Linked DNA regions of Canis lupus familiaris. The protein of the gene in region 4 interacts with the protein of the main gene of each other region in a pairwise test. Links are inferred from orthologs where the notes say so. Each region holds a gene or a part of one and is shown on either strand. Other genes may lie near its edges.

What was found.
Region 1: the proteins of DAZAP2 (region 4) and TOLLIP interact in binary tests that used the Homo sapiens proteins (3 or more experiments, as listed by UniProt). The two-hybrid records come from large-scale screens. The link is inferred for Canis lupus familiaris from reciprocal best matches to the Homo sapiens genes DAZAP2 and TOLLIP.
Region 2: the proteins of DAZAP2 (region 4) and MAPK1IP1L interact in binary tests that used the Homo sapiens proteins (3 or more experiments, as listed by UniProt). The link is inferred for Canis lupus familiaris from reciprocal best matches to the Homo sapiens genes DAZAP2 and MAPK1IP1L.
Region 3: the proteins of DAZAP2 (region 4) and MAGED1 interact in binary tests that used the Homo sapiens proteins (3 or more experiments, as listed by UniProt). The two-hybrid records come from large-scale screens. The link is inferred for Canis lupus familiaris from reciprocal best matches to the Homo sapiens genes DAZAP2 and MAGED1.
Region 5: the proteins of DAZAP2 (region 4) and PLSCR1 interact in binary tests that used the Homo sapiens proteins (3 or more experiments, as listed by UniProt). The two-hybrid records come from large-scale screens. The link is inferred for Canis lupus familiaris from reciprocal best matches to the Homo sapiens genes DAZAP2 and PLSCR1.
Region 6: the proteins of DAZAP2 (region 4) and KRTAP8-1 interact in binary tests that used the Homo sapiens proteins (3 or more experiments, as listed by UniProt). The two-hybrid records come from large-scale screens. The link is inferred for Canis lupus familiaris from reciprocal best matches to the Homo sapiens genes DAZAP2 and KRTAP8-1.
Region 7: the proteins of DAZAP2 (region 4) and TNIP3 interact in binary tests that used the Homo sapiens proteins (3 or more experiments, as listed by UniProt). The two-hybrid records come from large-scale screens. The link is inferred for Canis lupus familiaris from reciprocal best matches to the Homo sapiens genes DAZAP2 and TNIP3.

Annotation. Positions count from the first base shown.
Region 1 is NC_049239.1:46,023,769-46,027,825, reverse strand, and holds the start of TOLLIP (toll-interacting protein), read left to right. Parts: upstream 1-1,257; coding exon 1,258-1,290; intron 1,291-2,487; exon of another isoform or gene 2,488-2,763; coding exon of another isoform or gene 2,764-2,775; intron 2,776-4,057. UniProt on the Homo sapiens protein: Component of the signaling pathway of IL-1 and Toll-like receptors. Inhibits cell activation by microbial products. Recruits IRAK1 to the IL-1 receptor complex. Inhibits IRAK1 phosphorylation and kinase activity.
Region 2 is NC_049229.1:31,205,140-31,209,261, forward strand, and holds the start of MAPK1IP1L (MAPK-interacting and spindle-stabilizing protein-like), read left to right. Parts: upstream 1-1,322; 5' UTR 1,323-1,473; intron 1,474-1,827; exon of another isoform or gene 1,828-2,037; coding exon of another isoform or gene 2,038-2,049; intron 2,050-2,355; exon of another isoform or gene 2,356-2,379; intron 2,380-2,612; exon of another isoform or gene 2,613-2,634; intron 2,635-2,650; exon of another isoform or gene 2,651-2,674; intron 2,675-4,122.
Region 3 is NC_049260.1:44,749,736-44,753,704, reverse strand, and holds the start of MAGED1 (melanoma-associated antigen D1), read right to left. Parts: upstream 2,801-3,969; 5' UTR 2,756-2,800; intron 1-2,755. UniProt on the Homo sapiens protein: Involved in the apoptotic response after nerve growth factor (NGF) binding in neuronal cells. Inhibits cell cycle progression, and facilitates NGFR-mediated apoptosis. May act as a regulator of the function of DLX family members.
Region 4 is NC_049248.1:43,029,511-43,033,769, reverse strand, and holds the start of DAZAP2 (DAZ-associated protein 2), read right to left. Parts: upstream 2,801-4,259; 5' UTR 2,660-2,800; coding exon 2,647-2,659; intron 1,609-2,646; coding exon 1,490-1,608; intron 1,061-1,489; coding exon 892-1,060; coding exon of another isoform or gene 815-891; intron 1-814. UniProt on the Homo sapiens protein: In unstressed cells, promotes SIAH1-mediated polyubiquitination and degradation of the serine/threonine-protein kinase HIPK2, probably by acting as a loading factor that potentiates complex formation between HIPK2 and ubiquitin ligase SIAH1.
Region 5 is NC_049244.1:42,176,495-42,179,994, forward strand, and holds part of PLSCR1 (phospholipid scramblase 1), read right to left. Parts: intron 3,307-3,500; coding exon 3,264-3,306; intron 449-3,263; coding exon 228-448; intron 1-227. UniProt on the Homo sapiens protein: Catalyzes calcium-induced ATP-independent rapid bidirectional and non-specific movement of phospholipids (lipid scrambling or lipid flip-flop) between the inner and outer leaflet of the plasma membrane resulting in collapse of the phospholipid asymmetry which leads to phosphatidylserine externalization on the cell surface.
Region 6 is NC_049252.1:26,352,243-26,354,681, reverse strand, and holds KRTAP8-1 (keratin-associated protein 8-1), read left to right. Parts: upstream 1-1,401; 5' UTR 1,402-1,441; coding exon 1,442-1,633; 3' UTR 1,634-1,939; downstream 1,940-2,439. UniProt on the Homo sapiens protein: In the hair cortex, hair keratin intermediate filaments are embedded in an interfilamentous matrix, consisting of hair keratin-associated proteins (KRTAP), which are essential for the formation of a rigid and resistant hair shaft through their extensive disulfide bond cross-linking with abundant cysteine residues of hair keratins.
Region 7 is NC_049240.1:19,692,466-19,696,606, forward strand, and holds the start of TNIP3 (TNFAIP3-interacting protein 3), read left to right. Parts: upstream 1-1,341; 5' UTR 1,342-1,365; coding exon 1,366-1,467; intron 1,468-4,141. UniProt on the Homo sapiens protein: Binds to zinc finger protein TNFAIP3 and inhibits NF-kappa-B activation induced by tumor necrosis factor, Toll-like receptor 4 (TLR4), interleukin-1 and 12-O-tetradecanoylphorbol-13-acetate.

The DNA.
Region 1 (4,057 bases), on a different chromosome or scaffold from region 4:
AGAGGTAAGGAGGAGTACGGGGCAGAGCGAGAGGGCAGTGGGGGGCGCAGCAGGTGGATGATCGGTGGTGGGGTGGGGGGTGCACTGTACCAGAGCAGGAGGGCAGTGGGGGATGGCAGGTGGACGGCCGGGGGGCGGGGGGGGGGAGAGCAGTGGGAGTGGGGGTGCGGCAGGTGGACGCCCCGGGGGTGGGGGCGTGGCGGGGGGCAGTGGGGGGCGGCAGGTGGACGCCCCCGGAGGGTGGGGGCGTGGCGGGGGGCAGTGGGGGGCGGCAGGTGGACGCCCCCGGAGGGTGGGGGCGTGGCGGGGGAGTAGTTGGGGGCGGCAGGTGGACGCGGGGTGGGGGGGGCGTGGCAGGTGGACGCCCCGGGGGTGGGGGCGTGGCGGGGGGCAGTGGGGGGCGGCAGGTGGACGCCCCCGGAGGGTGGGGGCGTGGCGGGGGAGTAGTTGGGGGCGGCAGGTGGACGCGGGGTGGGGGGGCGTGGCAGGTGGACGCCCCGGGGGTGGGGGCGTGGCGGGGGGCAGTGGGGGGCGGCAGGTGGACGCCCTGGGGGTGGGAGCGTGGCGGGGGGCAGTGGGGGGCGGCAGGTGGACGCCCGGGGGGAGGGGGGGCGCCTAGGCAGGAACGCCCGTCCTGGCCCCGGTGTTCGTGCTGCCCACTCGCACGCCACTGCAGGGCCGCAGGGGGCCGCGCCCCGCCTCGGGATCGCGGGTGCCCGCGCAGGCGTCACGGCCCGTGGACCGGCCCTCGCGCCACAGCGGGTACTGCCGCCGCTCCGTCTGCCCGACCCCCGCGCCCACACATCCGCGTGCAAAAGCTCCCGCGCCGCGAGGATCCGGGGCAGCCGCAGGGTGAGCCGTCGCCTGCCCTCCGGGACCGGGAGCCCTCGGGTCGCCCGCCCCAGGCCCCGAGAGGCGGAGGGGCCGGAAACTCCTCCGGCCACGTGATCGGCGCGGGCCGGCCGGCGAGCGTGCGCACACGGCCAGCTCGGGAGCCGTTTCGCGGGGCGGCGGCCCGGAAGGAGCGACTGCGCAGGCGTCCGCCGGGGGCGCGCGTGCGTGCGGCGCCGGGAGGGGCGTGGCGGGCGTGGCGTCTGCGCAGTGAGCGGCGCGGGGGCGGGGCCAGGCGTCAGCTGACCGAGGCGGCGGCGGCGGCGGCGGCGGCCTCGCGGGGACAGCAGTCGGCGTCGCAGGCTCCGGCGCCGAGGTCCCGGGCACGTCCGCTCCTGGTGGGCGAGGCGGGGCCCGCGAAGCACCATGGCGACCACCGTCAGCACGCAGCGCGGGCCGGTGAGGCTGCGGGCAGGTGGTGGGCGGCGGGCGTGGGCTCCGGAGCCTTCGGGGAGGCCCAACGACGGGCTCCGGGAGAGGTGGCGGCGGGGCCGGGCCCGGACGGAGGAGGGTCCCGGTGCCCCGGGTGGGAGCCCCGGACAGTCCTCACACGGAGAAGCCCCGCCCAGCCTTCCCTGTACGAGGAGAATCCTGAACCCCGGATGCTCCCTGTGCTGCCTCCAGGCTGAGTAAGGCTCCCAGGCCCTGCTGTGTCCCCACTTAGGGGCCACTGGCCGCCTCGTCAGTTTTTCATTTGCAAGCGAGTGGGCGGGGGCCGAGGACCTGGGCGAGTCCTTCCCAGTTCTCTCTGAGCTGCGCGGATGCGGGAGAGTGTAGACTGGCTGAGGATGGCCTCGGGGTAGGGGGCCTCCCTGCAGCCCCGGCAGCCAGCTCCTGATGCAGCAGCTCCTGACGCGCAGCGGGGGAACGTTCTGGTCCTTTTGAGCAGGGAAGAAAGGTTCCTCGGATGCGATGCTTTCCTGTGCCTTCTCTCAAAGTCAGCCGCCCACCGTGAGCTCCCCGTTACCAGGGCCTCTCACCCGTAGAGCTAAGGGAGGATCTTTTCACAGAACGCTTTTCCTGAGTTTGAAAGGAAGACCCAGATTTTGTCAGCGTTCCCCTATGGGCACAGGTGCCCTTTCTGAGGCCTTTGAATGGGACCTGACACGCACTTCCTGTCGGACTTCAGTGTGGAAACATGCCGGAGCCCGTGGGGGAGAGTTCTGGACTCATCCTCGTGGCTTCCAGCTCTCCCATCTTCACAGAGAATTACAGCAGGTCCACTGCCAGCAATTTCTCATGTTTATGCAACTGGCTGATCCCAGAAGCAAGGGAACCAGATTAGCAGCTCCTTTATTTGTCCTCCCACACCCCCGCCCAGGAGCAGTGGGCTTCATAATCTGGCAGGACAGCCCCCTCCCTGGCCTCCTGGGAGCTCAGTGCCCTCATGCAGAATCTCACTGGTGGCATGGGCCTGAGTGTAAACACGCACAAAGCTGGGCTCCGTATCTGGTTGAAGGGAGCCTCCGTAGAGCTCAGCTGGTCCTGTTACTGGGGCAGCACTCAGCTCTGTGACAGCATAAAGCTGAAGCTCCTGACACTCGGGAGTGAGGGAGTGCTGCTGGTCTGACTTCCTGAGTGTGGTATGGCTTTATGTGCACATGGTGGTGTGCAGCACCCATATGGCAGGAGTGGCTCAGGGGTGCCCTCTGTGACCTGTAAACGTGCAGTGACATTAGGTCTGGTCCGGAACTGCGGGGTGGCTCTGGGAAGGGGACATCAGTGTCTGGGGTCTTGAGTGCCAGTGAGGTCATGTGACCTCTTGGCTAGTGTTATGATGATGGTATTTGGGGCAGCACCATACAATGAACAGGCAAGTGTGGTGCCTGCTGTCAGGATCTCCCAGTGCAGCCCGGACAACAGCCCACCAGCATGACCGCACAGGTGAGCTGCATGCTCAGAGCTCTGGGTTGTTTTTTTTTTTTAAAGATTTATTTGAGAGAAAAAGTGTGTGAGAGAAGAGTGTGTAAGCAGGGGAGGAACAGGAGGAGAGGGACAAGCAGACTCTGCCCTGAGCTCAGAGTCCGATGTGGAGCTCAATCCCATGACCCCAGGATCATGACCTGAGCTAAAACCAAGAGTCAGATGCTCAACCTACTGAGGCACCCGGAGCTGTGGGTCTTACCTCAAGAGTTAGATGTGAAGATGGCCTGTCGGGGGCCATGGTTGAAGTGGGTAAGGTTCTTCTAGGAAGAGACACTTGAAGGAGTGGGTGTCATAGGGCTGGGGCTGGAGCGCAGGCGGGCCTGGAAGGAGAGAGGGCAGGTGGGCTGCAGGAAGGCCAGGGAGGGTCATGCGTGTCATGCCTGTGCCAGTGCGAGTGGCAGGTATGGCCAGGGCACTTTTCCAGATGAACGGCCTGCAGGCAGCAGATGGACTGGGTGCTTGAGTTTTATCTAGTCACTACAGTGACAATGTTTTTAGAAAGCTTTTTGCCTGGCACAAGGCCTCTTCAGCGTCCCCTGCTGCTCTCAGAACTAAGCGATCCTTGTAAGGACCATGTCATAGTTGATCGAGTCTGGTGGACCTTGTCGAGCCGAAGGTGCCCCACATTGACTGTATGCTCCATCCCTGCGGGTGGTGGAGGAACATCGGGTGGGGCTCTCCTGGGTATTGGCACTGTGCCAGTGGGCCCCGTCCCTGCACACACCACGCAGGCCTCCACTGGGGCTCCAGGGAGCCCGGAGCCTGGACTCACTCACATGGGGCGTACTCTGAAGTCTGACCACTGCCTCCCACTCACCACCGAGGAGTGACAAGCAGCATCCTTGGGGGTGTGAAGGAGGGAGGGGAGTCTGCTTGGTAGGGGAGACGGGGTGTTTCCTGTGCCCTTGCCCACAGAGGCCTGAGGGGCTGGGTGGGGAGGGTTGAGGACAGGGCAGTGCTGGCCGCTCCCCTTGCTGGGGCTGAGATGGTTGTTCTTCCCCAAATCACCACTGAGACTCATGCCAGGCCTGTGCTGTCTGTTCCCCTCTAATGTTGCTGGTATTCTTGAGAGGACATCCTTTTCTGTCCAGGGTTCTGTCCACTTCACAGACTGTTCAGAAGCAACTGCTGGGCCACAGGAGAAGTAACTGTGTGGAGGCCCCTGCCTGCCTTGTTCAAGCCTGGGGACTTTGTGAACATGCTGCTTTAAACCACAGCAGTGCCCAATCAGCTCATGGGG
Region 2 (4,122 bases), on a different chromosome or scaffold from region 4:
GGAGTCCTGGGATCAAGTTCTACATTGGGAATCCCAGCTCAGCGGGGAGCCTGCTTCTCCCTCTGCCTTTTTCTCTGCCTGTGTCTCATGAATAAATTTTTAAAAAATCAGAATTAAAACAACAACCTAATGAAAAAAGGTCAAGATTTTATTTTTTAGGATTTTATTCATGAGAGACACAGAAAGAGGCAGAGATATAGGCAGAAGGAGAAGCAGCAGGCTCCATACAGGAACCCGATGGGGGACTCGATCCCGGAATTCCAGGATCACCGCTCAGGCCGAAGGCAGACGCTCAACTGCTGAGCCACCCAGGCGTCCCAGGTCAAGATTTTAAATATAGTTTTACTGACGTCTGCTGACTCAGGATTCCTTATAGCTCCATAAGGCATTACAGATTCACTGCCTCCTGACGGCAGGGTAAGTTGTTCACACTAATGTCATTTTCCATAGACCATTTTCCCTGTCCAAAAATAGGTCTTCCCCAGGCTTGGGTATTTGCAGTTTCTCTATTGCCTCTTTTCCAGTAGGAGAAGTGTGGGTTCTGGTGGAGCATACCCAGGAATAAGTCTTCCTTTAAGACGTTTCTAATAAAATGCCCCTGCCCAGTGACCCACTAAGGGGTTACCCAAAGAAGCAAAATGTACTGATACCGCATATTTCTAGTGTAGTTTTACATATAAAAATCTATGTACATACTGTATGTATATACATTTTGCACACTATATAATTACGGCAGATTCCTTGACAGCCGGGGGAATGTGTCAATCATCCTACAGACCTGACCCAAAGTAGGTAAAGGTTCTTTCAAAGATGAACATGTGGGGCCCCCTTCCCCGTATGGCTCCTGTAGCGCTCCCCAATTTCGGCCCGAGGGCCGGGATTCACTGGTTGGCCGCATTCACAGCCAGCCGGCATCCAAGCCCGGCTGTAAAAATCTCTAAGCGTAGGAAATCCAGAAGCAGTCCTCAAACCAGTCCAGGAAACAAGCTAGCAGTTTCCGCCGAGGTGCCCAGAACGTCACTGGCTACAGGCATTTCCTCCGAGGGCTCAGAATTCCGGAAAACCGGGGAGCGGTCCTCCCTCCCGCGGGAGGAAAACAGCCGCCCCGGGGCGAGCGGGAGGAGCAGCCGCCCGGCCCCGCCCCGCCCCGCCCCGCCCCGCCGGGCAGGCCGCAGTGCAGCGCGAAGCCTGCGGGGGGCGCCCGCGGCCGCACCCGGCCCGGGGAGGAGGGGGGAGAGCGCGCGGGGGCGGCGCGCTCGGCGCTTCCTGTTCCGGCGCCAGGAGGAGCCGCGCGCTGTTAGTGCTGCCGCTGCCGCCGCCGCCGCCTCCGCCTCCGCCGCCACCGCCGCCGCTGCTGCCGCCGCCACCGCCGCCGCCGCGCTCGTCAGTCAGTCCGCGTTCGGTTCTTCAGCACCCGATTCCCCCGGACCCATCGCCGCTTCTAGACTTTGCTGCGGGCTCGGATCTGGCCGGGTGAGGCTGCCTCGGCGCTAGTGGGTATCGTGGAGGGGGGCAGGGGAGCACGCCCAAGCGGGAGACGGGCGCGGTAACAGAGGAACCTCGAGTCGCCTCTTCAGGGGCCGGGACTAAACGTCGGCCCCCGCCATCTTCCCTCAGGCTGCGAGGTGCCCCCCGATCGCCCCCCGGGAGGAGGCGTCGGAGGCGGCTGACGTCGCGCCGGACGGGTTTCTCCGCACTTGACGTCAGGCCGGGTTTGGGGGCGGGGCGGCGAGAGGGCCCGGCCCCTCCCCCACCCTCCCCACCCCCACCCCTTTCCGGGCGGCGCGACCCGCTCGGCGGCCGGTTCGCTCCGGTTGATCCCGGACTCCCTTTGTTCGTTGGGCCCTGAAGGCTTCCCGGCTCGCGCCCCCTCGGTCCCCTCCCCCATTCATTAATTTCTAATAAAACGGGAGCGAGGGGCCTGAACAGCCTTGGAGGAATCTGGCACTTGTTTAATCAGATTGTCCGCCGTGTGACAACGTTCCGGTCGTTAGTTGCCGAAGGAGTTGCTACACAGATCCTATTCGACGAATACACATGACAGAAGCCGTGAGTTCGGCGACACTCTCTTTCTTAGGATTTGGGGGCTTGTGTTACGCATGGAAGCTTATAAATAGCTGAGCCGTTTCCTCTTCGAAAACCAAAAGCAGTGCTTTTACTGGTTAAAAATTTCTAATGTTGAGGCATCAGACCGTATTCCCCTGACGGGAAAAAAAAAAAAAAATTACTGCTGAAGAAATACACACTCTTACACACCTGATGGTTGTGAAGGCATGTTCTGTAAAGGAGCCTCCTTTTACAGGCCAAGGTAGCCTTCGGAGAGCTTTCAGAAGTTCTTTGTTCGGCTGTATTCACTGGGCAGCAACAGGAATTTTTCTGGTACTGGCGTCTCTGAACCTCCTATTTAAAACTAGTTTGTCTCAGCGACTTGAGTTGGGTTGTGTGTGTGAGAATGTTCTTTTCTTCTCTCCAGAAGGAACAGAGAGAGACCCATTCCTTAACTGCAAGGCTCGGGGCCGGTATGTTTTGGAATTCAGCAATCTTCGAATTGTGTCTTTAGATTTTAGAAAGAGTAAGATGCGTAGGCCAGAGGTGTCACCCTCACAAGGTCCCAGCAGCATCCCTGAGACTACGGTAATAATGGTGCAGGGATAGGCGTGACTTCATGGAAACTGTAAATATCCTCAGGTCACGTTTTGCCACCCAACTAAGTTTTATGCCAAATTCTGGAATTTTCCTTTTCTTTTCAGAAGTTTCCAAATCGAGAACTGCAGATAAAGGTTTGCAGGCCTGTGACCGCGATTGTAAAAGTTAACGTTTGTTGAGTTTTCCTTGAGTGCCAGAGAGAGACCAGGAGATTTATTTTGTCAGTCTGGGGGCAGGTCTGCAAGGTGGATACTACTCCTGTGTACTTAAACCTCTGGAGTTTGAAGAATTCAACCTGTCCATCACCTGCCAGTGAAGAGCTAGGGTTTTATCTACGCAGCCATAACTTTCAGGGTCATTCTTTTAATCTCTGCTGCCATGCCCATGTAGGAAGAAAGACAAGGGAATATATATCTGTTGCCCATCCACTATTTTTTAGAGCACTGTTATTATAGACACTTAATTTATGAATACCATTTAGTCTTTCGCATCACTAGCCCTTTTATAGTTGAAGAAACTGAGTCACTGGGGTGAGCTGAATCTGATTGAGACATTCAAACCTCAGTTTAAAGGCTCTCTGCTAAAACTTCTATCCCTCCCCTCTCTGTATTCCAACCAATTCGAACTGCTTATATTTCCCATAGCGTATTCTTGCCTGCTTTAGCTTTTGCACGGTCTGCTCTTTCCCGGGGCCTGTCCCATCATCCCCTACTGCCAGCTCTTCATTGTTCTCCCAGACTGCAAAGGAACCTCTTCTCAGGGTTCCTCCCCTTATTCTCCTTTCCTTGATTCCTTTAGGTGCCCTTTAGGTACTCAACTTGGTGCCCTGGGCTTACCCAAAGTAAGGTAGTTACTATTTAAAGGATAGTTCAGGGGGGTTCCTGGGTGGCTCAGCGGTTTACCACCTGCCTTTGGCTCAGGGTGTGATCCTGGAGTCCCAGAATGGAGTCCTGCATCGGGCTCCCTGCCTGGGGCCTGCTTCTCCCTCTGCCTGTGTCTCTGCCTCTCTCTCTCTCCCTGTCATGAATGAATGAATAAATAAATAAATAAATAAATAAATAAATAAACTTTAAAAAAAAAAATAAAGGGTAGTTCACCAGATTGTGAATTCCTTAAATGTCTATTCTGTGTAGTACTCTTCATTTCCCCAAAGCCTAACAAGACAGTGCCTGGTGTGTATATTCCAGGCATAAGTATAAAAAAAATGATACTTTAAAAAATTATGTCTTTTGGGACGCCTGGGTGGCTCAGCAGTTGAGCATCTGCCTTCAGCTCCAGTTGTGATCTCAGAGTCCTGGGATCAAGTCCCCACATCGGGCTCCCCGCGGGGAGCCTGCTTCTCCCTCTACTTGTGTCTGCCTCTCTCTGTGTCTCTCATGTATGAATAAATCTTTTAAAAAAATAAAAATTATGTCTTTCAAAAGCTTAAGAATATTCAAAAACTTTACTAAGTCCTCAGTTCCTTGAGTTGTCCAA
Region 3 (3,969 bases), on a different chromosome or scaffold from region 4:
CTATATACATATGATATATATTATAAAAGGACATCCATTATAACAGTGGTACTTATATAAGGATAGAAAAATTAACCAAACAGAACAAAATTCAGAAGAAATAAACCCACATAAATAACTTAGTCATTTGATTTATGAAAAACATGACTCTATAGGAGGGAAATAGCTATCTTTTCAATAGTGATATTAGGTTGATTAAATATCTGCTTTTTTAAAGAGTGGGAGCATGAGGTGAAGTGGGGGCACAGAGGGAGAGGCAGAAGTAGACTCTCCGCTGAATAAAGAGTCGAATACAGGGCTTGATCCCAGGACCCTGGGATCATGAAATGAGCCAAAGGCAGACATTTAACCGACTGAGCCACTCAGGCACCCTTGAATGTCCATTTCAAAAAATGTACAAAAGGGGGGCCTTTACGCATACCAATAACTCATACTGAAAACATACAAAGAAATCAATTACAAATAAATTGTGAATACAAATGAAAGATCAAACAATACCACCACATAGGTTAAGCAGGCTCCCTGTAGGAAGCCTGATGCGGGACTCAATCCCAAAACCCAAGGATCACGACCTGAGCCAAAGGCAGATGCTCAACTACCTAGTCACCCAGGCATCCCAGGGCCAACTATATTTAAAAGATTGCCTGTACAGACAGACAAGTACTCAATTCCTCCAATTTAACATACCAAACATTTATGGGCAACATATCATGAGCACACAGTGATAAGAGCAGTGAGAGAGGTAAGCAAATATGCTGTAGGATAGCACACAATGCACTGCGGATAAAAGATTGAAGAAGACGTGAGGATGGATGTAAAGATACGTCTTCTAGACGTATTAGGTATGTAACTAACAACATACCTAAATGTATGTAAAGACATGTCTTCCTAGAGGGCTGGTAACTAACAACATACCTAATTGATAGCAAGAAGCTCGCCAAGATTAAAAAACAAAAGAATATGGGAAATGTATGTGCCTGGATTAGGTTATTTCAGTATGTAGAGTGCTACATTAAAGCCATGCAAAAAAGTGACAATGGGCAAGGGGGGTGTGGAAGCAGAGTGAACAAATACAGAGACACCAACATAAGATATATCCTGTTTTTCCCATTAATAGCTGTACATAGTTCGTGCCCTCACTTCCTTTAGGTTTCTGCTCAAATGTTGCCTTACCAGGGAAGCCTTCCTCACCATCCCTATTTAAAATACTACATCTCCTCTCCATTACAACTTACTCATATTTACTATATATTCATTTACTGTCTCTCAACTAAAGTTTAATAAGCTTTTTATTTTCCACTGTTGTATCCTCAGTGCTTAACACTGTCTGACACATAAAGTTATTCAATAAAAAAATTCTTAGATGAATAAATGATGGTTGCACACTGGGTTGAAGCCGTGGGATATTTAAATGCTGTGTTACTATAACTTGACTAGAGAATACAGAGACATCAGCAATACCCTTCAAAAAAGTTTTTAAGTGTTTTAGTATCATGAAGTCGAGCCTGACTTTTTTCTAAACGAACTGAAAATTACACCTAGCCCAGAAAAAGATTTACGTCTTATTTTGGCAAGTATAACACACTAGTTACAGGAGGAAAGGAATAAATTGCTTGTTCAAGGGAATTCTTGGTGAATAAATTCCTCTTTAGAGCCTGAATAATCCTGACACTCATTTTAAGTTTAATGATCATATCCCCTCTCTTGGGTAAAAAATTGAATAATAAATTGTGATTAACTAACGTTCTCACGAGACAAAGTAAACATGATGAATGGAACAGAAAAATATATTTCACCTTGCACGAAATAGAGAATACTTGCGAAGTTCCCAGGAAAACTTTGAAAATCTGTCAGCTTGCTGTTCAATGTTGCCACCAAAGACCAGAAAAAGATTTGAATAGGCATAACTCATATGAAAAAATAAATTTGTGATTGGATGTCATATCCGTCAACCATTTCTGTCCTATGACAAGTTCTAAAGGAGATGGGAAAGCTTCGACCATCAAGAATTGACACAAGTTTTACAGGCAAAACCCCTATGACTGCTCCTCTAAAAAGTGGGGATTGAGTTCTGTGCCAATTTTTTTTTTTTTTTATGTCAGGAGGGTTAAAATCAGTGCAGTTTCTGATGTATCATTTTGGTTAAGAGTAAAAATAAACTCAGCAATAATATAATAATCTGAACAAGCTCCTGTGTCTTAGGACTAAAATTTCTGCCACTGCTTATTTTAAGGAAATAAAAGAGTTGACCTTGAAACTGAAGTCACACCTGGTTTTGGCAAGTTTTTAATTCAAAGGACTCTGAAAGAGGCGGGCAGGAGGGGCGGGGGGGGTGGAAAGTAAAGTACTGGAGCTGAAGAAAAAGGAAGGGCGTAGATTCCTAACGGGAGAAGGGGGTTGCAAAAGTTTTGAGGCTAAAAGGGGCCGGGGAAGAAGGTGGAAGTTAAGAGGTAGGAAAAAAATCTGTGGTAGAGGAAATGGCCCAGGCTCAGAAATATCAGGAAGAGGATCTGGGGTAACGAGGAGAGGTGAAGAATGACCAGGGATAAAAGGACAAAAATAGAGAGGGAGGACAGCCTGCCATCTTCAGAATAGGTAGACAGGCGACCGGAACCATAAGCGTCAGAAACATCCTTCACACAATGTGCTCTGGGGATGAAATCTTTCCACCCCATGTTGAAGCAAGGAGGAAAGCTTCCCGGGAGGGTTTGGAGACTCACTTGTGAAAATTATGAGCCTCTTTCTTTCCACTCACCTCAGTGAAGAAAGCCCCGACACAACGATGGCGTAACCGGAAGCGCTATTTTCCTTCGTTTGGCGGAAACTTATTTTCCGACGCCACGCCCCCTTTACAGGCAACTTCCTGTGCCTCTCTAGCAAGCTTTTACAATACTTTATTGCTCTGGCTTTCAGCGTATCAGAAGCTGGTTAGTGATGTGAACCGGCTCAGAGACAGTAACTTTTTACTAATTAAAGCTCTAGGGTCGCCTGGGTAGTTCAGCGGTTTAGAGCCTGCCTTTGGCCCGGGGCGTGATCCTGGAGTCCCGGGATTGAGTCCCATATCGGGCTCCCTCTCCCTCTGCCTCTCTCTTTCTGTGTCTCTTATGGATAAATAAAATCTTTATTTTTTTAAAGATTTTATTTATTTATTCATGAGAGACACACAGAGAGAGGCAGGCAGAGACACAGGCAGAGGGAGAAGCAGGCTCCACGCAGGGAGCCCCATGTGGGACTCGATCCCGGGTCTCCAGGATCACACCCCGGGCTGAAGGCGGCGCTAAACCGCCGAGCCACCGGGGCTGCCCTAAAATCTTTAAAAAAAAGAAATTTTAACTCTAGTCATCCGAAGAACTGCATTATTTCAGCCAAACCCCACATATCCAAATTTGTCACCTCGCCTTATTGATTTAGCCCTTAAAATACCTTCCTAACCCTTAGTGCCTTGACTCTTGGATGCCAACAGTTATGTATTTGCCATACTGGTTTACCATTTTCTAACATACCATGTTGAGTAAAAAGTTCATTTTTATAAGTGGCATACTTCGATTTCGAGATTTTAAAAAATCTTAGATCTGAATCATTTTTGTCTCGGAATAGTATCCAAAGAGTTACATGCTATACTCAAATTAACAAATAAAGGTAAATTCATCTAGAAAGCATTCTTGTATATGTATATACCCCCCCCAAGAAAATGACAACTGACAAAATTTTCTTTTTTTAAGATTTTATTTATTTATTTATTTATTATGAGAGACACAGGCAGAGGGAGAAGCAAGCTCCATGCAGGAAGCTCGACGTGGGACTCGATCCGGGGTCCCCAGGGTCATGCCCTGGGCTGAAGGCAGGTGCTAAACCGCTGAGCCACCCAGGGATTCCCAAAATTTTCAATAATAAGAATAATCCTTACTCTGGTTAAAAGTTCAATATTGAATCACCTATTGCCACTACCTCCAGAAAACACTGGGTCCA
Region 4 (4,259 bases):
GGGCAGAGGGCAGCTGAGACAAGGGAAGTGGACACACGTGAAACAGGATCCATTAGAAAGATGGCAGTGTCCTGACCAATCACATCTTAAAGCTAGTTCTGCCAACGTGGGTTGTAAAGCAGGTCTATATTCTCTGTGAACCCAAAGGTACAGACAGGAAAAGAGCCTACCACTCATTTAAAGGCATTCTCACCTCATTTCAGGTATATGGCTTTGAGGCAAGGACCACCTGGGCTCTAATTCTTATAGAGGGGGGAGCTAAGCAGGCAACATAACTAAAATCTCTAGTATCTTTCTAAATGCCACTTAATAGGGGACTATGCTTTCTTCATTTTTTTCAGGATTTTAAAAATTATTATTTTATTTAAATTCAAGTTGCCTACATATAACACACAGTGCTTATCTCATGTGTCTTTCTCCATTTTTACTCATCACGTTTTTCTTTTATCACGTTTCTTAATGGAATGCCATACTGAAGGCAAATTTGAAGTAAATGTTACAGGCTGAATAAGGAGTATTACTAGACCAGTACCAAAGTGGAACTGCAAAAGCAGCAGGCAGGACTCCTAATGCTTTAAAGAGGTATAGGAAAACAAAGGAATCTGGTTAACTCAGGCCCCAGGGAATGTGCCAGATGCTACTGACTTGCCACAGTTCTCCTGCCCCCTCAACTGCTTTCTGCCCAACTACTGGATGTCAGTGCTTATACCCATACCACAGCTATTACCCAGGGATGGTGAAAGGATGAATATGTAATCTCTTCAGAAAGTTAAACTACGTAAGAGCTGAGTTGTTCTGATAAGGTCATACTCACAGGAATGTTGCCAGCAGTAGCCCCCGCTCCAAATCTGGCACCTGCATCATACCCTCCTTCCACCAGCACTGCTGAACCAGGTGGATAGATGGGACCAACTGGATAATAAGCCATGGGGATTGTGGAACCTAAAGGTCCAACAGCCACAGATTGGGCCATGGGAAGATACAGTGAGGCGCCAGGAAATGCAGCTGACATGGTGGGGACCGTGGCAGCCCCCGGATGCACGAAGCTCGGACGATAGAGCTAGAAGAGAAGGCAACAGGTTACTTTATGACATTCCGATTTTAGATCCCTTCTACGCTCAATTCTTAATTGTCCTTGTGCAGATTACACTCTTGAGTTACACAAACTGCCTTTCCACTGCCACTCAGTACCCTCCTGCATCACTTCCTGCCATAGCTAACGTGAGGCTCAAGGAACGCAAGCTCATCTTCTTAACCTCACCCGGTGCCAAAAAAAAAAAAAAAAAAAAAACATGAAACAATCAGATGATGCAGTCTCAACCCCAACAGAAATTGCGCTGAAGTGTACAGTGTTTCAGACTATTCACGTGAGCCCTCCCTTCTCCTATTTACGGACACTGAATAGATATGCGTGGACTCAGGCTTATTAGCTAAGGACTGAAGATGTGACCCAAGAGCACTGGGTTCAAGTCTAGTAAACTGGAAGCACCTCTGAGTAGGCAGGTGGAGCATCAGTATAGGGTGGAGCCTGAGGGAGATGCAAGGTCTGAGGGTACACTGGGTTCCCAGGAGGCTGCACGGGATAGGTTGGCTGCGTTGGATATTGACCTGGAAGACAAGAAAGAAAAAAAGAAAAAAAAAGGAAAGAAAAAGAAAATGCATGTTGCCTACCACACAGAGCCACCAAAATGGGGCAGAGCATCCTGGGTAGCTGCCCTAGGGGCAGCAAGCTGGAGATGTGTAGACAGACCGCTCTGGGTGGTGGGGTGGGGGTGGGGGCTGATTTCTGGGGCCGAGAGAATATTCTCTTCGCACCCTTATCCCTACTCCTACCGGGGCAGTCCTCCCACTGGCACACCCGAGCTTCTCCATCGATGCAGGGCAGGTGTGGGGCCCCGTTCCTGCCCGTGCCCAACGGCAGGGACGCGCTGCCCCGGCTCCGGGTGGTCGCCACAGGCCTGGCTGGACCGAGCCGCGACCTCGTTGGGTCACGGAGGTTGCGGGTTATTTGCCCCGCCGCTTCCTACTCAAGGTCGCCTTCCGAATACAGCGCGCGATGGACGTGAGCCCTCGGGACCCGAGGGAGGATAACGGGAACCGTCCTGAGGCACAGCGGAGGACCGTGTGGGGCCCGACGCCGGCACAGTCCCAGGAGCCGGGGGCACTTCGGGCGGCCGCGCGAGGCACGCGGAGGGAGACCCCTCCGCCGCCCCCGGGCCCCCGGGCCCCGGGGCCCGCCCGCCGGCGCCGCACTGGTTAAGCCCGGGCGCCGGCCTCTGGTTCCGGAGCGCGAAGCCCCGCCCCCGCCGGCGCGCCATTGGCCGACCCGCATCCCTGCTCTAGCTCCCCATTTGCTCCCGCAGATGCCCATCATGACAAGCCTCCCCCCTGCACCCCCCCGCCCCTCCACCCGAGCCCGCAGCTCCAAACTGCGCCACAGAGTTTAAGGAGGAAAGGGCCGGGAAGCAGCGAGCAGCCGCAGTTCGGGGATGACGAAGGCGTCTGGCGCGGCCCCCGGGGCCGCAGCCGGCCGGGGAGGGAGGCGCAGCGCGCCCCAAGCCTCCGCTTGGCGACCCCGGGCTCCGGGCCCGCTCGCTCCAGGCTAGCACTGTCCCCCCGACGGCCCCGGCCGCCCCCTGCCCTTGCCTTTGCTGTTCATGGTGGCTGCGGGTCCGGTTCGGCTCGGCGTCGCGGACGGTTATTTTTTTCGTCCTCTTCCTGTTCGTAGTCACTTCCGTGTCACGTGACGGCCCGTCCGCCTCGCGTCACCCGACGCCCGAGCGCCGCCGCCACCGGAAGCCCCGCCCCTCCCGCGCGGCGTCCAGTAGCTGGAGGGCGGGCGCGCGTGGCCCCGCCCCCCCGGCGCGCGGCGGCCCCGCCCCTTGGGTCTCGCCCTCCCACCCCCACCCGCGTCCCACGACGGGAAGAAAACCGAATGCAGGTATTGTCTCCAAACACGGTTGTTGGCTTTTTTTTTTTTGGTTTTGCCTTTGTTTTTTCCGCCCCCCCCCCTCCTCTCTCTCTCTCTCTCTGGGGCGCTCGGGGGCAGAGCCGCTGAAGCCGCTCCCCGGAACCTGCTTCCACCTCTGCGCAGCAGCTCAAGGTGACCTCACCTGCGGAGCGCGGCGGCCCCGGCCCCGGCCCCGGCCCCTGGACTGCGCGGGCTGGCGGCGCCGTCAGTGGGTCCTGGCCGCCTTGCCCGTCCCGCCGGCAGGTGCCCGCCTGCACTTGCGTCGCTGCCCCTCTGCCCGAGGGAGGCCCCGCGCAGGGCCCGGCCTGCCGCCTCCTGTAGCCTCCCTCTCTCTCCCTTCGTCCCTACCCTCACTGTCCTTAAGGGCAGGGGTGCCACCCTCTAAGGCAGCAGTGCCCCGGGCAACCTTCATTTTAAGATACGCCGCCTCTGCGCAAGTACAGAGATGGAGCTAAACAAGACCTTTTTTTTTTTTTTTAAGATTTTTGTTTATTTGTTAACCAGAGACACAGAGACCCAGGCAGAGGGAGAAGCAGGCTCCATGCAGGGAGCCCAACGTGGGACTCGATTCCAGGACCCTGGGGTCATGCCCTGGGCCGAAGGCGGACGCCCAACCGTTGAGCCACCTGGGCTGCCCCACAAGACATTTTTAAAAAAAATATTTTATTTATTTATTTGAGAGAGAGAGAGTGCACCGGCAGAGGGATGGGCAAAGGAGAGAGAGAAGCAGACTCTCCGCCGAGCAGGGAGCCCCATGCAGGGGCTGCACATCCCAGGACCCCGGGATCATGACCTGAGCCCAATGCAGACGTTTAACCTGCTGAGACACCCAGGCGCCCCCAGCACAAGATGTTCTTTTTTTTTTCTTTTTTTTTTTTTTTTTTTTTTATTTATCCATCAGAGAGAAAGAGGCTCCATGCAGAGAGACCAACGTGGGATTCAATCCCAGGCCTCCAGGATCTCGCCCTGGGCTGAAGGAGCCATCCAGCTGCCCAGAACACAATGTTCTTTTTTTTTTTTTTAATTTTTTTTTTTAATTTTTTTTTTTTCTTTTTAAATTTATTTATTCATGATAGTCACACGGAGAGAGAGAGAGAGAGGCAGAGAGAGACACAGGCAGAGGGAGAAGCAGGCTCCATGCACCGGGAGCCCGATGTGGGATTCGATCCCGGGTCTCCAGGATCGCACCCTGGGCCAAAGGCAGGCGCCAAACCGCTGCGCCACCCAGGGATCCCTGAACACAATGTTCTTAATTTGGTTCAGACTAATACTAGTATTGAAAACCCTG
Region 5 (3,500 bases), on a different chromosome or scaffold from region 4:
GAAGATCAAGAAGCCTGGTCTCAGATCTCTGATCTCAACCCCATGAGACAGACACACTACTCATGGCCATGAGGCTAACTGCTCATTGTTTTTCACCTGCCTTTCTTCTTGGACAATTTATTCTCAAGTATAAACCAATAAGCTTATGGATCAATTTTCCTTTAAATCTCATTTGATTACATAAATTCAATAAAAGGGTAACAATTCTTACTGAACTACTCACTGACCTCCTGAAGGCAGCAAGGGCAACAACAGCTGCCACACCTTAGTGGTCTCTCCAGAGTTATAACTTCTTGGCCCATATTATCAAGAATCCTTATGGTAAAAGGCCTAGAAGCTCCACAGCAATTTCGGGTACAGAAATCCGTATCCTCTGCTGCAAAGTAAATCCTCTGTCCAAAGCTGTTCTTAATTTCATATTTGTTATTAGTTTCAAAACCTGTTATGACTAAAAACATAAGAGAGGGAATCATTATGACCATTATACTAAAAGAATATCGAATCTATCCTAAGATACTATATCCTACCATTTGTAGATCATACTTTAACAAAAAGGAAAGGTGTTTAGAGATGATCTAGATAGAGGATAAAAGATAAAGGGAAAAAAGAAGGAGAAGGTATTAAGGAACAGAGAAATTAAAGTCTCTGTGTAAGACAGGGAAAAGAAAACTCCTATCTTCTTAATTCCATAGTCTCATGTCAGAAAGACAGACTGCTTCTGAGGGATGGTACAGTGATGTAGATGGTCATAGCTTGCTTTGTGCATGCAGAAAATATCCACTTGCTTGGTATAGTTTTCTAATATTCAATTATATAAGGGAATATAGGATGGTTGCTATGTTCATACTCTATGAAATATTCTGTTGAATAAATTGGCTTGAGTTTTTTTATATATAATATTCATGGCTTATGTTTTTGCACTGTGTGATGGTGAGTAATGACAGGGCTTACTCTTAATGCACACTTGTGCATTAAGAAAGGGAGGGGGTTAAAATGGAGGGTGAATTAGAACATCACATTGGGCTCAGAGCACCCTGGTTTAAGATTTGCTCTACTGGCCTTTGCACATTTTTTAATCTCCATATTTATGAAAAATGTCTAAATTGTTAAGGAACTCTTTCTTAAACCCTTTTAAAAATAGTGGGTTGGATGAAGGAACACAGCTCTGATCAGTGGTGCAATTTCCAAATATGAGTAGCAATGCTGCCAAAATGGAAAAAAAAAATGGTTTAGCTTAGCGGTAGTTATTCAGAAGTGGGTGATGGGTATTAGACAATGGGAAGAGGTGCTTCGCAACCAAGGCTGCAACTCAATAGGCTATCTAGACCACTGGCATCCTACGTAAATTCTGTACTCTGGAGGAGGCTAATCTTTTCACAAGGGGACAGAGGTATGCTAAATGCTGATGTCCATGTGACATCTTACCAATGGGCTCCTATACTGAATCACACATTGCAAACCTCTCCTTGCTTAGAGCCAGGGGAACATTAACAGTCCTACTAGTCTACAGTCCTCATTAACGTGGGTCATGAGATGCCAGAAAGCCACCAATATATAATGAATGATAGAGAGATACATATGGAGACAAAAAATATTCTCTAATATCTGTGTGGATAGACTTAGTCAGATATAGATGTCCTTCATAAATTCTATGATCATGGCCTCTCTTAAGTATCTTAGCTGGCTTCAGCCAGCCTTTGGATTTTTAAAAGAACCACCCTTGACCTCAACATCTGCCAGTCAAGTGCTGTGTAAGAAAAAAATTAAACTGATTCGTAACATGGAGTCTGTTATCTAAATGTTTCATTAGCTAGCTTAATCTCAAATTCTTAGCTAGTTTATCTGTAAAATGAGATGAATGGGTTTACACAATCTCTAAGTTACCTTCTAGTTACAAAATGAGAATGAAATAAGACTTCTATGGTCATCATTACTGTCTATAAAGTTTTGAATTGGGAAGTGTGTAAGTGCCTGTCATACACTCAGATGGTAAAAATAAATGGAATAATCTCCATCTCTTTATGCTATCATGTTACAATATATACTTTCATTGAGATGAAGAGAAAAGAAGAAAATTGAAGACATCACTATTAGAAAACTGAAGAATAACTATAAATTTTGAACTTACTTTACCTTTCATGATATGTATAAAACTTATACATTTAAAAACTATAAATGGGGAGTGCTTTATGATGTACAGTATCTGGTTTGGTTTGATTTTATGACATCAAAAATAAATTTCTTAAAACATTAAAAAATTCAAAGTACTAATTATCAAGCAACAAAGAATGCCTTTCCAGGGAAAACTTAGTATTAACTAAAAACACGCATATTATAAATATCTAACAACGTACATTATAAGCAATTTATTACTTTTTTTTCATTATAAGCAATTTAAATAAAACAGGCAAAACTAAATCTATTATTCTGCTCTTACTATTCATAGTTATAATTTCTATCATTGGAAACAAACTTTGCAGAGAGATGAAGGACTTAACAGATATATTATAAACTCTAGCTGAGCGTTCATTACTCTTTATATCTAGAAGAAAGACACCATGGTTCATGAAGGCATCTAGGTTCTCTTTCCCCTGGTAAGAGTCTTGAAGCATCTGGTGGCTTCTTAAGTTTACCTTGCACCTCAGGAGTGCTGTACCCAAGGAAATATTTATTTGCCATTCACATGAGCAGGAGTGCTGTTTTAAGAAGCCAGGCCTCCAAGCCTACTGATCAGCATCCTCCAACAATGCATTAGCCCTGCACCCAAGGTGATAATCCACAGCCCACAGAACAAAGGTCTTACAAGGTTCATATGAACTCCTGATATAAATTGTTGGCAAGAATACATTTTCCAAAACATACCCATCCAAATTGAAGGACTTTCCTGGCTTTAGAAATGTACCAAGGTAACTGAACTAGTGCATATGGTTCTGTGTCAGCATCAAGATCATGTCAGGCTGGAGAAAACAGCTGAAATGATTTCTAGAGGGAAGTGGGAGCAAAAGTACTTTTGATGGGCTTCCTTCTAAGTTGGCATGAGGATGGATGCTCAGAATAATGGTGTTTTACAAGTTGACTTCTAATTTCCAGAAATGTGCCACTGATAATTGCCATCATTTCATTATCATGAAGAAAGACATTTGTAAATAATCAGATTTAACTGTTCCACATCAGTGAAAGTGTTATATTTGTGGTTGCTGATATGCTTTTATCTGTAAAAACATCTTCTTTCTAGAAATATGGTCAATAAAATGAATACATACCTTCCAGAAGCTCAATTTGCTGATGAATCAGTATTTGATCTATCTATTATAGTAAAAAAAAAAAAAAGACGATATTTTCATTCTTTTTATACCAAAATTAATATTTGTGTTTTCTATTTTAAGGAACGTATATAATAAATTGTCAATATTTATCAATATTTAATAATATCATGTCTTACTTCTAAACTTTTATACCTAAAGGTATAAAATTAAAGTTAATATATCTTTAATTGAAAA
Region 6 (2,439 bases), on a different chromosome or scaffold from region 4:
ATTCATTTCAACGCCTTCATTGACCATTCATTTCGATGCCTGAGTGGCACGGTTGGTTAAGTGGCTGGCTCTTGGTTTCAGCTCAGATCATGAACTCAGGGTTCTGGGATCAAGACCTGCATCAAGTTCCACACTGGGCTCTGCGCTTCCTTCTCAGCATGAACTCTACCTCAGGATTCTCTTTCTCCCTCTGACCCTCCCCCAGCTCACTTGTGCTCTCTATAAAATAAACAAATCTTTAAAAAAATTAATCCACAATCTAATTTTTTTTTTTTTTTACAATTATAAGATTATTAGTTCAGACAGTGGTCTCAAAATGTGATGTAGATATATAGTTCAGGTGGGGATTATAATTAAGATTACATTTTTAACCAGTTTTTAAAACAGAATAGCTATAGGGGCACCTGGATGGCTTATTCAGTTAAGTGGCTGCCTTCTACTCTGGTCATGATCCCAGGGTCCTGGGATCTACTGGCCTCAGCCTTCCTGCTGAGCAGGGAGTCTGCTTCTCCCCTTCCCCCTTCCCCCTGCTCCTGCTCCTGCTCTCTCACTCAAATAAATAAAATCTTATAAAAAACAACAACCAAAAAAACTAGAGTAGCTATAGATAGGGAAAGAATAAAAAGGAGACTTTCCTATGAGCCCAGTGGCATTTGTCTTGCACACTACCAAAAAGAATTCTTTTTTTTTAATTTTTATTTATTTATGATAGTCACAGAGAGAGAGAGAGAGAGAGAGAGAGAGAGAGAGAGAGATTGAGAGAGAGAGGCAGAGACACAGGCAGAGGGAGAAGCAGGCTCCATGCACCGGGAGCCCGACGTGGGATTCGATCCCAGGTCCCCAGGATCGCGCCCTGGGCCAAAGGCAGGCGCTAAACCGCTGCGCCACCCAGGGATCCCCCAAAAAGAATTCTTTAACCAAGTGAATACTATGAAATATCTCGAGTTTAGTTGGACTTACTATGTATTTATCACTTCATTTATTAATTTATTCCAACACATATTTACTGAACTCCACCAGTGCATTCTGGAAATTCGGTGAGCAAGAGGACTGAATAAGAGCTAACAACCTCAGAGCATTTCTTGGTTTTATAAAGTCTGCTTACAGAGAACTCTATCTAGGGTCTATAGGACCCAGGGCTTTGAAGTCACTGCAATGCTTTTTTAGTAAAGGGTCACACTTTGAAGGGATCCCGTCCCTATATTCCATGACGTGAGAGGTTTCTTAAGCAGCTGTAAAGACATCTAACGCAAGAGCAAATCAAATTAACGAGCTTTTTGTGGTGTCAAGAATGAAAATTGGTGCCAAGAATGAAAATGAGGGCCTTGTGCTTTTAACCACACCCCATAGGCAGGGTATATAAAGAAGGTTCTGAGACTGGAGAATCATCACACAGAGGAGTCACCTTCTCCTGCTACCTGAGCCCTCCACTCCTGACACCATGCACTGCAACAACTTCTCCGGTGCTGTCTTCCCAGGATGCTACTGGGGCAGCTTCGGCTACCCCCTGGGGTACAGCGTGGGCTGTGGCTATGGCAGCACCTACTCCCCAGTGGGCTATGGCTTCGGTTACGGCTACAACGGCTGTGGGGCCTTCGGCTACAGAAGATACTGGCCATTTGATCTCTACTGATTTGCTGAAATTGCCGAGGCATAGAATCTTCTCTCCCAAGGTTAAGAGGCACCCTCAACGTTCCTCCTTTGCTCCTTGACCTCCCAGTTGCTGCTTCTCAGACCTAGTACCAGAGTCCAGAGGGAAAGAAATGAAAAAGCAGACGATGCCTTACCTGCCTTCCCTGGATGATGTTCTTTGAGACATTTTCAGAAACTTTATACCCAAACATGTATTTCATCTGAATTTTTCACCATGCTCACGACTCTTGATAAAGTTGTGGATATGTGTGTTGAATTCTCAATAAACTTGTCTCAGCCAGCATAATACTCTTACTTGAGCAGAGTTTCTTTTCTTGGCATGTGCATATTTTCTGTTACATTGAATGGGGAAGGAAGTGGATTTATTTTTTCTCACCTGGGCTTTAGAAGCAGTAAGAAAGCAAATAATCCTTGATCTAGTGTGATAAATAGGCAAGAGGGGGCTGCTTGTGAGGAGGAAAAAAAGCCTGTCTTAACCTTTTACCTCTGACATCACCTCCAATCCTTGGTCCAATGGTACACCATTCAGTGCTTGGTGTTTCTCATCTCACTGCTTATTCCCTCCTCAAGGAAACCCAACATGGGGAGGTGGGGGGCTTTTCAGTTCTTTCCATATTAGTGCAAATGAAATCCACTGTGTTCCTGCTCCTGGGGAGGAGAGAGTGTAGAATAAAATACCATTTTCCCTATTAAAAGATTCTGAAGCCTCAAGTCATAGAAAAGCTATAGACATATTTTAGGAGTCTAAGAGTCTTTTAGGGGAAGGGATTATTCCATAAAACCTAT
Region 7 (4,141 bases), on a different chromosome or scaffold from region 4:
AAGTTAATGCTCTTTGGGTGGTAATTCCTGTAAGATAGAAATGATCAAAAGCAAATTTAATGTTGAAAACAGGTATGGTTCCTGAATTTGGCTGAGAAAATACATTTATGTATATTGAAAACAGGATGGGATGCAGTTGTGGTGAGGGTAAAAGTCAAAGGGGTTGAGTGTCAGAGTTCTCCTGGGACGTCTCAACTTGTCAACACCTAAGGTTGTCTTTTAAAGATCACCACATCTTTGGGCCTGGCGTACAGTGATAACTGGACTTCGGTCCCAAACAGCTGCATTTCTGATTTATCTACATCCGTGATTCTCATCCATTCTTTCATCCTCTTTAGAAAGGAGATTTATGCCCCTTGTCCATCCTAATTGTTTGCCTGATATATCTTCTTTTTGGCAGAATTTTTCAGAGAAAAGTTGGTTCCAGCCCTTCGGAAAAAGCAGAAATGTGATAATTTAGTGGTTTAAATCATATGTTGTTTAGCCCCTGGTTATCCATAACTGGAATTTTTAAAAAGCATTCACACACACAGTAAGGAGGGAAAACTCAGCAAAAGTGTATAGAATTACTAAATTCCCTAAAACTATAGTTCTATTGGGAAAAAAAAGAACAGAGAAAAAATCAAATTTAACCATTATATCATAAGTATAACAGTTTCCAAAGTTTTATGAATGAGTATTCAGTTTGCAAAATGATGACAAATTATCTGTTCTTTATGTCAGTTTTTATCCAGATGAGGTTTCATCAAATGGCAAAGTCAGCTATGCTCCTGATTGTTATGACAATTTGAATCCAAGAGGAAAAAAAACACATTTTTTTATGAAGTAAAAAGACCAAATTAAAAACTAAGTTTTATTACCAATAAACTGGGATGGGAGACCGTAAGGTATAAGCCATATTACCCTTCTAGTTTGATATCCATCCAGCTGAAGCTCCTGGCACAACCATCTCTGTCCTTTAAGTAACATTACAGGTGATGTTCTTAAGTTATAATAAAAATACACTCTCTGCTTTGACTCTCTCAGGGAAACAATAAGGACCAAAGTTTGGCAAGAGGCCATGGCCTCCCCTTGAAGGACTCTGGAGAGCCATCAAATGTCCCTAATCCACAGAAAACTCTCACTGAATAGAAACAAACTAGCTTGAACAACTCCCAAAGAAACTCTACTTTAACAGGACTAACATTGCCAGGTCGGCTTTGTCATATTTCTTAGAAAACCTTATGGTGGTGAAGCCTTTTTAGTGAATTCTTCAACTGTAAGATTTACATCGTCTTCATTCAACCTCCATTCTCACCCATGGAATGGAATCTGGAATGTTGGGAAATTGAGGTGGTGGCAGAGAGGGTGAGGGGCAGGCCTGGAATGGTCTTGAAAGCAAGCACGTGGAAGCACTTTGCTGGTCTTCCAGGACACCTGGGGCTGGCCCAGAAGGCGCAGCTGAGGTCTGGGGAGCCTTGTTACCAGGTGACAAATTCTGCTCATCTTTCCAGCAGATTGGATTTGCCCTTTCCCAAGCCCAGAGCGTGGAAACCTCCTTCCCTTAGACTCTTAAATACTCTTGGTATTATTTCTGGATAAAGGAAAAAACACTGAATATGACTTTTTTCCCCCCTCAACTCAACTCTCAATAGCCTTGTCTCACTTCACTAGTTTCATTTTCCCCTTCTTTCCCCTTTTCCCTCAGACACTTGTACCCTCAAGCCATGTGAAATTAATTTTGGATCAATCACTTTAGACACTAGTCTTCAAGTTTTATTAAAATGTTTTTCAACTCATTTCCTTGTTTTTCCCTAAAGGTAAATCACTAAACAAAACACTCTGTGAACTGTAAAAATAATTTGGTCAGCAAATAGCAGCTTTTTCTTCCAGTTGATTTTAAGTGACCTAGAGGTACACCAGAAGCAATACAATGCTTTGTGGACGAGTAACACCTTTGTTTCACGGTGGTGTTCTACAGAGTCCAGCGTCCTTCTTACAGTTCCAGTGCAGGTGGAGGTAACAAGATCTGTCTTTGTGTTTTATGAACTCTTTTTTCTCCAACATTTCATGGGGTAAATGAAAATCATGTCTTATATCATTTTCCACTGACTAACATCACCATCCCCACTGTCCATTCCATAGTTTTTAATGGAAATAACCTTCCTGCATAAACTTCAGTATACTCTGAAACAAACTTCTGTGCTTTTTCTGCATTCTATAATTTATGTGGTCATCAAATGAAGAGGTGCATAGCTTCAAACAACATTGGACACACTTTGTGAACACTTGAAGGTTTTAATGACAGCATTTACATTGTGCATTTGTATAGCACTCTGTAATTGTAAAAGAATTTCAACAAAGGAAGACATTAATTAGATCTAGTTTCCAGTTCCTGTAAGAATGACTTCATCACCTTATTGACTTCATCACCTTTTGCTATTTGTTAATAAACATATTATTGCTTTTTTGGTATCACACTAAAATGTCATATTCTTGTGAAACATTATTTTTTTCACATGGAAAGAAACTAACAGGGTAAATGTCATTTTGTGTAATTTAAAAATACTTTTTTATTTTTTTAATTAAAAATTTTTTAAAGATTTTATTTATTCATTCATGAGAGACAGAGGGGGGGAGAGAGAGAGAGAGAGGCAGAGACACAGGCAGGAGGAGAAGCAGGCTCCATGCAGGGAGCCTGACATGGGACTCGATCCCGGGACTCCAGGATCACACCCCAGGGCCAAAGGCAAGCACTAAACTGCTGAGCCACCCGGGCTGCCTCAAAATACTTTTTAAAGATAATACTCAAAAGACTTTAGGAGACCTTATAACAATGATATTTTTGTATCAAATGTTTAATAACTCAGATTAAGTACAGATTGTTGACTTCCTAGTTTTGTTTAGATTTTTTTTTTTTTTTTTAGGTCGAGTATATGTACAAGCTACATGGCATTATGGACTATTTTTTCTTTTGAAAATTTATTTCAAAGTAGGCATAAAGAAAGGCATAAAGAAAAATATGATGAACATTCATGATTTACCACCTAAGACTGATACTTATAGCATTTTGTCATAAGAAAGATAATGCTGAAGGTCCCATTGTGATTCATCGACTTTGAAAAGTGTGTTTGTAGAATTGGAATTACAGAAGTGGGATCCTCATTAACTCACATTGTCAAGTCTGTTTTCCTGAAGCTTGATGCCTTGTGATGAGAGCTGGAGTCAGTCAAACAGGCAAATTGATATACCCATGTTCTCTCCAGCATATTGCCAATATGCTCTTTGCTGTTTACTTAAGCTCATCATGATTACCTGAAGAATGAATACTTCAACATAAAAAAATGGTGCAAATAACCACTAGTGATTACTATTGGGTACTTCATCTGCCATGATCTAATTCCTGAACTGGCACAAATTTTTTCATCATTTTAGAAAGGTTTGCCACTGCTAATAATTATATAGACTATTTTCTTGTATGGTGAGAAAAATATACATAATTCCTATTCTGTTGTGCCAGTGAAACAATATAGAGACTATAAATACAATTTCCCCTCTACATAAAAAAAAAAAAAATTCAGCAACTTTTTTTTTTTTTTTTTTTTTTAAGGTAGTGGGCATATTTCTAAATTACTTTGAAGGATGAGTATTTAAATGTTAACCTGGGTGCTAGCTCTCTCAGGGAAAGAAATAGGAAGATGAAACAGAGGAACATTCCTAGAAATGAGTGTGTGACCTATGTGGTCCTTACAGTAAATTATACTAATTCTACTTTTATGTTTGTGTGTTGTGATCCTATTAAGCTGATAGAACTTTTCCATTAAGTGGGCAGGTTGATTTCCTGTAGTACTCCTGATTGCTTGATGAGGTGTGTTGTTTTCTTGTGTTTCCATTACAACATTGAGACTAAGAGGGAATCCTCTGTGGTATTTTCACATAGGTTATGAATCTTTTATCTGGTGGTTGTATTTGTATCGGAGAGATGAATATTAATAGCCTCTTGGCAGCAGAGTGACTTTCTTAAAAAAAGGGGTTTCCCTGTGTATGGGTGGATTAACCTTTCAAAATATATGTTTCTACTTAAACCACTTAGTTACTGTTTGATTCAAAGAGTCATAAAGACAACCTCTCCACATCTCTGTTAGACCTTGTAGTATGCTTA